3 linked regions of the Macaca mulatta genome follow. Each later gene encodes a partner of the first gene's protein in a complex. Links are inferred from orthologs where the notes say so. Each region holds a gene or a part of one and is shown in the gene's direction. Other genes may lie near its edges. The genes, in order: IGF2BP1, G3BP1 and ELAVL4.

Region 1 (4,387 bases):
CGACCCCTCCTTTTTCCCCGTTCCCTGGGCGAGGGGCTTCCAGGGTCTCCGGGCCGCGCTCTCCGCCACCCCTGGCGCCATCCCAGCCCCCGCCGCTAGAAACTCGTTGCTCTCGCTCGCCGCTCCGCCGTGGAGCCAGGGCTTGCGAGTGGACCGCGCGTCCCGCTCTCCGCCGCGTATCCGGGACTCCGAAACGCGCGGCGAGCAGCCCCCTCCCCCACCGCCCAGACGGGGGTGCGACCGCCCACGTGTCGCCCCTTGCCCAGTCGGGTCCTTCCCTCGGGCTCCCGGAGCTGGAGGATCCGGAATGAGTTGGTCAAAGCCGAGGGAAGGGACCCGGGCGGATCCGCTTCCCCCTCCCCAGGAACGGCGGGAGGGGGAGAGGAGGGGCCACCGCCCCCTCCCCTAAGCTCCCGCCCCTCGCTTCCCAGTGGGCCGAGCGGAAATTACCCCCTCCCCCCGCGGGTCTGACCTGGGGACGTGGGCGGGGCTTCGCGCTTAGCCCCCCGCCCTCCGTCCCTCTCCCGCCTTCCCGCCGGGTTCGGAATCCTGCACCCCAAACAAAGTTCCGAGACCCGAACCTAGGGCCCAGAGAGCTGCCAGCAGTGTCCTGGGTGGTGCGGGCGCTGGAAACTCCACCTGTCTGTCCCCGACTCGGAGGGAAAAGGGGACCATTCAAATCTCCACCCGGTCACTCCCTCCCTAAGACCTCCCCCTTCGGTTCGCTCGGGTTAGCCCTAGCTATCACCCCTCTTCCTTCTGTCCCACTGTCCCTCTCTCCTGGGGTCATCTCCGGCCAGTTCCGCGAGTTCCCCCCAGGACCCCGTAACGTTATCATTTAACAGCCGGACCCCGGGTGCGAACCACCCTTTCTCCCGTGGGGATCTCAAAACATGATTTCCCGCGGCTTCCTCGTTCTCCACTGGGATCCCCCGTGTTCCCAGCTTCCCAGTCCCGCGCTCGCAGGGTCCCCCGGTCGTGCATCCCCGGAGGCGGGGGAGTTTAGTGGGGCTGGGGTGGTGAAGGCAGAGACCCCCCCATTTAAACATCTAGGGAAAAGGTGGCTTTCTTTTTAAATCACCAGCTCGTGCGACCCTCTCCTGAAGACCCCAGAGTCTTCGGCTTCTCTTTGTCTATCTCGGCCGTCCCCCGCCTGTCAGTCGCTAGCAGTTAACCGGGGTGGGGTGAGCAACCCCGCCCCCCAAAACGAATAAAAAATAACCGTACATTTTACCCTTTAAGACCTGGGAGATCTGGGCTGGACCATCCTCCCCCAGTTCGGGCTGGGGTAGGGGGATGGGTGGGGGCGGGGCGCTTCCCTAGGGGCCAGGTTCTTGCAAAGGGGGAAGGGGCCATAGAGCTTCAGGGACGCTGCCCCACCGCCCCAGTTTACCACGGGGGTGAGTTAAGTTCTCCACCCTCAGGCGGGAGATTGCTGGGTTTGGCCGGAGGGCCGAGGGGCCCTGTGGCGTCGGGGGTCTTCCCCTGCAGGGTGGGTGGGGGCTGTCACCACGTGGCTTCTCCTTTTTTTTTTTTTTTTTTCCGCTCCATTTTTTTTCAAGTCGATTTTATTTAGAGGCGGCGCCAGGGCGGCCGCGGAGAAACGTGACACACCAGCCCTCTCGGAGGGGTTTCGGACCGAAGGGAAGGAGCTGCGCCGCGTCGTCCGTCTCCCTGCGCGCCGCGGGCACTTCTCCCGGGCTCTCCCCGAACTCTCCCGCGACCTCTGCGCGCCCTCAGGCCGCCTTCCCCGCCCTGGGCTCGGGACAACTTCTGGGGTGGGGTGCAAAGAAAGTTTGCGGCTCCTGCCGCCGGCCTCCCCGCCTCTCGGCCTAAGAGGCTTGCCGCCCGCGTCCACTCGTTTGGCCTTGCCCGGGACCGCGTCCTGCCCCGAGACCGCCACCATGAACAAGCTTTACATCGGCAACCTCAACGAGAGCGTGACCCCCGCGGACTTGGAGAAAGTGTTTGCGGAGCACAAGATCTCCTACAGCGGCCAGTTCTTGGTCAAATCCGGCTACGCCTTCGTGGACTGCCCAGACGAGCACTGGGCGATGAAGGCCATCGAAACTTTCTCCGGTAAGAGCACAGCCACCTCCCGGAAAAGCCACAACGAAAGCCCCGAACAACGGAGACCCGCACCTTCCGGTTCCTCTCCCGCCAACTCCTCTCTTCCCGGGCCTGCGGGGCTTGGCCTCTGTACCCAACCTCGACCTACCCCCTTCGATGCCCCCTCCCTCGCTCTGCGCCCCCCACCCCCGCGCAGAAACATTCGGGATTTCCTCATCCCTTCCTCCCAGCCCGAGATAAGCAGCTCTGGCTTCCCCCATCCCTCCTCCCCACCGACGGGGCGGGAGCCCCCACTGGCAGTAGTGGGGGGGTGGATTTAGGGACACGGAGATGACCCCCGGCTGGGCGTTATTTCCACGTCCAGCCCCTCCCTGTCCGCCGGTGGACGGCCCCCCAGCTGGAAAACCCTGGCTCTCCTTCCTCAGTCTTAGGCCTTTCCAGGCGTGGAAGGGGTCCCCCGGACCGCTTGCGATCTCTCCGTTTAGCGTGGGGAATGCAGCCCTCTAGCAGGACTTGCAAGGAAGGGGGTCCTGCCTCCTGCCTAGGGCCTGGGGCTTGAGCCATTTTGATTTGAAAGTGGGGCGTGAGCGGAGTGGCGCGGCGGCGGCGGCGCCGGGTCGCCATGCTGCTTCCCGAGACGCCGAGGCTGGGCCGAGAGGCGCGCGCGGCGGCAGCCAGGCACCCTCCCCGCCGGGCCCCGCTCCGCTCCCCCAGGTCCACCTCTTCCCAAACCAGTCCCGACAGGTGACCGCTCCGCGGCTCCAAGCCCTTCTTCCTGGCCAACAGAGAAAAATAAAGTTTCGTTCTGTACACCGCCTCCCGCCCCGCGCCCCACTTTCTGAGGAACGGGGAGCCCTTTCTCTCCTAGCTCCTTCTCCCCACATCTGGGAGCAATGTAGGCAGCGCAACCACACAAATGGCCTCGCACCTTTCCCAAATCGGGATTCCAGAGCGATCCACTCAACGAGCCTCAGTGATTAAATAAAGCAAAAATTAAAAAATGAATAATAACGAATTTATAGACTCCACCATTCCTAGAGCAACCTTTTTCCCATCTGGCTGCAGAAGCCACTGCCTGGATTCCTAGGAAGATCTCGAATCCCAGTAACTCCTGAATTAGCCTAGTGTCTTTCCCCTTCCTCTTCCCACCCCCAACCCCTGTTCACGCTCTCATGGTAATTTTTTTTTTTTTAAATCTTTAGGGAAAGTAGAATTACAAGGAAAACGCCTAGAGATTGAACATTCGGTGCCCAAAAAACAAAGGTAGGAAAGAGCTCTTTTCTGGGGGGGTGGGGGGGCCGCGGGGGTGTGCTGAGAAGCTGTGTTCAGGGGTCCATAGCGTCTCCAGTGGAAGAAACCCATTACTGGTCTTTCCCACCCCCAACTCCGGATGTTGGGGGCAGGGAGGGAAGATTGGCCAAGATCTTGTAATGGGTGGTTTACAGCTTGTAAAAAAAAATAAGTTGGGGCTGGGGTGGGCTAAAAGATGTTGCTTGTAGAATTAAAGGGGAAAGAAAATCAATAGGGGAGAAACCTTTTGGAGTTTGTTCAACTTGTGGGGCCGTTTTTTGTGGTGAACCTTAAAATCTTCGAAGAGTTCAGACTCAGGGCGATTTCTGCAACTTCGTAGCAGGCCTCATTTTCTGTTTTTCCCACTCTTTCCACACCATAATTCTTAAGTGGATTGCCCTTCTACTCCTAAGTGATGTGGAATCAGTTTCCCGTCCCCCAAAGAATCCCCTTATGCTTGTATTTTATTTATATTTCTGCAACAGGCAAAGACTTTATTTTCCATGGACCCCCCCACCCCCAATCCCTCATATTTCACATCATCCTTCTCCCCAACTGGATTTTCCAAAGAATATGCCTTGGCTGTACTATCCTTTTCGAGCCCCCCTACCCCCACTCCTTCAGCCCATTGTTACAAGGGGACCATCTGGGGTGAGAGCTTTGTGTTGAGGCTGTGAGCTGGGGCTCTTTGGAGGGTCTAGAACTCCGTGGATGAATTGAATGGGGTGTGTGTGTGTGTGTGTGTGTGTGTGTGTGTGTGTGTGTTCCAGTACCCTCTCTCTATTCTCTCTCTTCAGCAAAATGGGGTACCTCCATCATGCTTACCGAGAATTCATGGTGGATTTCAAATATTGCATTGAACTCTGAAATCTTTCCTTGAACTCTGGCTGGGAAGTGTAAGGGCAGAGTCTTTCCACTTTTCTCAAATCAGACTTTAAACATGTTGACAGTGTAGAGTTTGCTCTCATGTCCCAAGTTGAAAAGCAGCTCCCAGTAAATCTTTGATCCTCCTCACCCCCCATTTCAA
Region 2 (3,651 bases), on another chromosome or scaffold:
TATTTGAAAGTTTTTGTGTGTTTGTGTTAAAAGCCACATATCATAAAATTTGCCATCTTAACCTTTTTTTTTATCTTAACCATTTTTAAATATAAAGTATAGTAGTGTTAACTGTATAGATACGGTTGTATGACAGATCTCTAGGACTTTTCACCTTACAAATCTTATTGAAGATAACTTCATATACCTTACAAACAGACTGTACCCATTGAATGGCAACTTTCTTTTCCCCCTCCCCCAGCCTATTTTGAGAGTTTTTCTGATGTTGTATGCTAAATGAATTGTAATGATTGTGGGATTCCAGCCATAAAGTGGTTTGGTTCATTTTGATGTCCTGATTCATTTGCTTATCAGAATTTGCCCAAATGGATTCCAGTGAAGTTATTGAGTGGCATTTTAAAAATTACTTTTTAAAAACTCAGATATACAATTCTTAGCTTTTTTTTTTTTTTTTTTTGAATAGAGGGAGCTAACTCTATGTTCTGGTTTCTGGTTAATAAATGATGGGGAATTTTTTGCGAAATAAATGGTGGCAGAATGATATTTCTCAAATTTTTCCATCAAAGTAATGACATGGAAGAACATTTAGAGGAGCCTGTTGCTGAACCAGAGCCTGATCCTGAACCAGAACCAGAACAAGAACCTGTATCTGAAATCCAAGAGGAAAAGCCTGAGCCAGTATTAGAAGAAACTGCTCCTGAGGATACTCAGAAGAGTTCTTCTCCAGCACCTGCAGACATAGCTCAGACAGTACAGGAAGACTTGAGGGTATGAAACATGTCTTCATTTTTATTCTATTTCTAGTTATTTTTTAAAAAAGAGAAATCTCTGTTCTGTATTGCTGTTCGGTTGACTTTTGTAGATACATTTTCATATTGGTGGTTCATTTCAGGGAAATTTCTTAGATATTGAGCCATGCCTTTGATAAGAGAGAGGTAAGATGTGTATTAGTTTATTTCATCAAAAAAAACCACTCCCTTCCCCTAGGTAACTTGAATGCCTGTTAGACTAGAAAGTTTAGGTGCCACTGTAGCACCGTGTCAGTGATTCCTTATCTTTTTAATATTCAAGCTTTTACACTATAAATTATTACATGCTTGTTACTACAAATTTATAACATCTTTTTAAGGAAAACAACATGGCAGAATATACTTTTTCTATGAAATTTTTTTGAAGATAACTTTATAGTGGAAGTAGGAATGAACTGCTGAAGTAAGATTTCTTTGCTAGTTGGCATACCTGATTTCGGAAGTTTTCAGTTTGTCCTCCTGAGTCTTATTAGGGTGTTGTTAACTGAACTCATGAAACCTTTACATTTGGCACTCTGAGAAGGAATATAATTTTTAGTGCTGTATTGATAGGCTCAGGGTTATGTCATTTGTTTGTTCAACAATTAATTCAAATTCCTGCTGTGTGTTAGGCATTGTTCAAAGTGTAGGTATTGGCAAAACAGATAGGGGTTCTTGCTCTCTGGCAGCTAATAGGTGAGTAGGAAAGAGCAATGTTGAAATGACTTTAGCTTGCAAGTGGAAAAAATTAGCTGGTCATGGTGATGCCTATGTGTGATCCCAGCTGCTTGGGAGGCTGAGGGAGGAGGATTGCTTAGCCTGGGAAGTCAAGGCTGCAGTGAGCTGTGATTATGTCACTGCATTCCAGCTTGGGAGACAGAGTAAGACCTTGTCACAAGAACAAAACAATAAGAAGCAAGTGGGAAAGTAGTTTGACTGGACCAGATGACCACTTAGTTGGTTATTATAGTAAACCTAGTAAGAGAGGATGATGGTTTGAATTAGAGTTGTGGCAGTGGAAATGGAAAAGAAATAATTAGGTAGAATAACAGGTTGTGACAATTTTTAAATGTGTGAGAAAGGTGTTCATGATGATTCTACAGTTGATATAATTGAGTCAATGTTTGTACCATGGATTGGATTGAATGACAGCAGGAAGAGCTGAGCTGATTTTGGAGGAGAGGGAATTTTGTTTGATTCACAAATTTGAATGAAAGTAGCTTTCCTTGGGCCAGGCGTTGTGGCTCACGCATTTAATCCCAGCACTTTGGGAGGCAGAGGCCAGGAGGATTGCTTGAGTTCAGGAGTTAAAGACCAGCCTGGTCAATACAGTGAGACTTCATCTCTGCTAAAAAGAAAAAATAGCTGGATATGGTGGCACATGCCTGTAGTTTCAGCTGCTTGGGAAACAGGTGGGAGGATCACTTGAGCACAGGAGATGGAGGCTGCCGCGAGCTGTGTACATGCCACTGCATTCCAAAAAAAAAAAAAAAGTGAGTAGTTTCTTGAACCTAAGCCTCTCAGATTTGCCTGATCATCAGTCCCAAGGAATTTCAATACTAAATTTTGAATAGCTGGAAGAGAAGAATCTTAATATATGTATAAACTCCATCCTGCCTGTGAGAATGTGTTACCATTTGTTTTGTACAGGAAATCAAGAGTTAGTAGCTTTTATATTGTTTTGATACATGGTATAATTATGTAATGTTGGTATTGCTCCCTTAGACGTTTTCTTGGGCATCTGTGACCAGTAAGAACCTTCCACCCAGTGGAGCTGTTCCAGTTACTGGGATACCACCTCATGTTGTTAAAGTACCAGCTTCACAGGTAAGGTCTTAATAAAACTTGTACATTAGGCAAGTGTACTTATATTTTGGTAATTTGATTCAACAGAGGTTTAGAGAGTGTGAAAACTGGTCAGGTGCAGTGTGGCTCATGCCTGCAATCCCAGCACTTTAGGAGGCTGAAGCCAGCTGATCACTGGAGCCTACCAGTTTGAAACCAATTCAGGCAACATAGTGAGACCCTGTCTCTACAAAAAATAAGAAATTAGCCGGGCCTTGTGGCATGCATTTGTAGTCCTAGTTAATTAGGAAGCTGAGGTGGGAGGATTGCTTGAGTTCAGGAGGTTGAGGCTGCAGTGAGTCATGATTGTGCCACTGGACTGCATCATGGGCAACACAGTGAGACTCTGGCTCAAAAAAAAAAAAAAAAAAAACAACCCAAATCAATGTAGAAACAAAACTGATATATAAGACAGAAGAGAAGGGTATAAGGTGGTTTTTAATGATTTTTCTTGTTAGGGAATTGTCCATTTTCTAGTTTAAAACTTGTTAGCTAAGAAACTTCATTAAGAAAAAGGATAAGCCTGCTTTGTTTTAACACAAAAGTTAACTTAAAATTTTTCAGCCCCGTCCAGAGTCTAAGCCTGAATCTCAGATTCCACCACAGAGACCTCAAAGGGATCAAAGAGTGCGAGAACAGCGAATAAATATTCCTCCCCAAAGGGGACCCAGACCAAGTAAGAGCTCAGAAGGGCGATTTCTCGTTTGGGGGATTTTGAGGTGAGAGCTTATTTTGGGAGGGCAGTTGATATTTATATACTTTAAAATAAAAATATTGTAGGGTTGATGGAATTGCCTGTTTTTACGGTAGAGGGAAAACTATTGAATGTGAGCAGTCACTGAAAGATGTCTTCTTTCTCTTACCTTTAATTGATGTTTTTGTCTCCTTTTAAGTCCGTGAGGCTGGTGAGCAAGGTGACATTGAACCCCGAAGAATGGTGAGACACCCTGACAGTCACCAACTCTTCATTGGCAACCTGCCTCATGAAGTGGACAAATCAGAGCTTAAAGATTTCTTT
Region 3 (2,661 bases), on another chromosome or scaffold:
ACAAATCACACAAGGATTTATTTCATCAGACAGTGAATCGAATTTAAAGGGTCATTTTTTTCTTTTCAGGATTACACAAAAACTGAGAAGATTTCTAAGCCTAATACAAAAGCAGTTGTAATAGGGCAAATAACAATTTTATGTTTTTCTAATGTACAGCGATTCAAGATATATAAATGCACAAACCACTTGAAGTCTTGCTCCAATGATGCTTAGGAATAAATTCCAGATAACATAGCATAAAGGAGTAATACATCTTTATTATTATTGCTTGAGTTTGTAGGGGAAACCCTTTTGGATAAATGCTAAATGAAACATGAACCACCCATCTGTTTAATAGCAAGACATGCCTGTTCATTGTCAAGTATCTCCATCCTCACCAAGAAACCTTTGACAACCATAGGTCAAGGGAATGCAAAAATGGTAGACTTAAGCACTTTAGGGCCATCTCCTAATCTGCCTTTAAAAAAAAAAATGAAATTTCCCAAGCACTGGCCAAAGTTAGTCACTTATTCAACCAATAAATATTTATTGAGCATTTTCTATGTGTCACTGTATCTGTGAGATTCCCATATGTGCTCCACTGCATAAACAAATAGGGCCACAGAATGAATGAAATAGACCCTTTCCCCCAAGAGCACATTGTCTATTGTTGGGGTGGGGTGGAGTCAGGGTGGGGTGCGCTCTGAGCATCTACTGTGATAGAACTATTATAGAGCCTTGCTCTGGGAGCCCTGGGAGTCCCTCATGGTTTTTAGAAATGGACCTAGATCTTTCTCTCAGCATGAACATACCCTAGCCAGTCAAGCCATTCCCATCAGAGGAAATGACATAGACATTAGTTTTTACATTTTGGTTTTTGAACCCTGAAGACTCTCCTGCAAACACTCACTCAGCCCTCTGCCCCGTGTCTGTGTCTGTGCATCTGTGTGTTATCCTTGGTCAGACTGATGTCTGGACCAGTCCCCCCTTCTGCTTGTCCCCCCAGGTTCTCCCCAATTACCATTGATGGAATGACAAGCCTTGTGGGAATGAACATCCCTGGTCACACAGGAACTGGGTGGTGCATCTTTGTCTACAACCTGTCCCCTGATTCCGATGAGAGTGTCCTCTGGCAGCTCTTTGGCCCCTTTGGAGCAGTGAACAACGTCAAGGTGATCCGTGACTTCAACACCAACAAGTGCAAGGGATTTGGCTTTGTCACCATGACCAACTATGATGAGGCGGCCATGGCCATCGCCAGCCTCAACGGGTACCGCCTGGGAGACAGAGTGTTGCAAGTTTCCTTTAAAACCAACAAAGCCCACAAGTCCTGAATTTCCCATTCTTACTTACTAAAATATATATAGAAATATATACGAACAAAACACACGCGCGCACACACACACATACACAAAAGAGAGAGAAACAAACTTTTCAAGGCTTATATTCAACCATGGACTTTATAAGCCAGTGTTGCCTAAGTATTAAAACATTGGATTATCCTGAGGTGTACCAGGAAAGGATTTTATAATGCTTAGAAAAAAAGAAAAAAAAAAAACAAAAAAATACCTTTGATGCATTGAATGTTCTTTCATAGCTGTCGTTGTTGAATATAATATACATAGATAGCGATGTGCAGGGATTTTTACCCAGCCAGCTAACTTTACTACCTTCCTTGAAGGTGGATCTTTTTAAGATGACCATTCGCTCATTTGAAGAAGAAAAACAAAAAACAAAAAAAATAATAAAAATAAAACAATTTTTACAAAGTAATGGGATTCAAAGAAAGGAAAAAAAGATTTTTCTTTTTTGTCAAAATGTCGATCCAATCAGATTGGTAAAAACCCCCACACAAATTAAAGAGGAATAATAAAAATTGCAAAAATTAAAAAAAAAAAACTTTTGCAAATTTTTTTATTTTTCCTTTTTTCTTTTATATCATGTGAACTAAAACAGTCTTCTGTTAGGGGATGGGGGCAAGGGGGATACCTGATGACATTAACAATTTAATAACATTAACATTGTTGCCAAAGAGGTGGTCTCTTTGCTGAAAATGGGTTTCAAGAAAAATCTATTTTTATAAAATATAAAGAATTTTTACAAGAGAATCTGGATTTGAGAAAAAAATATTTTGACTGGCTAATTTAGGGGAAATTGACAACTTTGTCGCGTTCATACTGCACTGGTAACTTTTTAGAGATCAAGATGTGTGTTTTAAACTGGATTCGTAGACTGTTTTTTGAAGGATGGGCTATAAACAGATGATCTTCATATCTTTTCATAGCATGTAATAATAATTAAAAAACAATTATTAATTACTAGGGGAAAGGAGTGTTCGTTCTACCCAGGGTACCACAGTTCCCCACAGTCAAAACCCAAAAGCAAGGAGATGAGTTGAAAGACAGTTTTTCTTTAAGTCATCAGTATGGGATGTCAGCAGAACAAAAATTAAAAAGATTAATTTTCCTTTTGATCTAAAACTTCCTTAGTTTGAGCAGTAGGTGCTACGAAATTATTTACATATCTTAGTATCATAGTTAAATGTAATGTGTTTAGGAGAGGAAAACAAAAGATACATTTGCTTTAAATTCATTAAGAAATTTTGAAATTCACTTTGTAGCCCATGCTGATAGAATTGGGCTGTGTTGGTACATTTGAAACACTGTTTATGTTGCTTGA

Evidence for each region.
Region 2: IGF2BP1 (region 1) and G3BP1 share a complex: the UniProt entries of both Homo sapiens proteins name them as parts of the TAU mRNP complex. The link is inferred for Macaca mulatta from reciprocal best matches to the Homo sapiens genes IGF2BP1 and G3BP1.
Region 3: IGF2BP1 (region 1) and ELAVL4 share a complex: the UniProt entries of both Homo sapiens proteins name them as parts of the TAU mRNP complex. The link is inferred for Macaca mulatta from reciprocal best matches to the Homo sapiens genes IGF2BP1 and ELAVL4.

The regions. Positions count from the first base shown.
Region 1 is NC_133421.1:61,007,841-61,012,227, reverse strand, and holds the start of IGF2BP1 (insulin-like growth factor 2 mRNA-binding protein 1), read left to right. Parts: upstream 1-1,538; 5' UTR 1,539-1,904; coding exon 1,905-2,079; intron 2,080-3,272; coding exon 3,273-3,333; intron 3,334-4,387. UniProt on the Homo sapiens protein: RNA-binding factor that recruits target transcripts to cytoplasmic protein-RNA complexes (mRNPs). This transcript 'caging' into mRNPs allows mRNA transport and transient storage.
Region 2 is NC_133411.1:160,738,433-160,742,083, forward strand, and holds part of G3BP1 (ras GTPase-activating protein-binding protein 1), read left to right. Parts: intron 1-566; coding exon 567-768; intron 769-2,513; coding exon 2,514-2,615; intron 2,616-3,197; coding exon 3,198-3,309; intron 3,310-3,526; coding exon 3,527-3,651. UniProt on the Homo sapiens protein: Protein involved in various processes, such as stress granule formation and innate immunity. Plays an essential role in stress granule formation.
Region 3 is NC_133406.1:190,462,938-190,465,598, reverse strand, and holds the end of ELAVL4 (ELAV-like protein 4), read left to right. Parts: intron 1-946; coding exon of another isoform or gene 947-988; coding exon 989-1,316; 3' UTR 1,317-2,015; downstream 2,016-2,661. UniProt on the Homo sapiens protein: RNA-binding protein that is involved in the post-transcriptional regulation of mRNAs. Plays a role in the regulation of mRNA stability, alternative splicing and translation.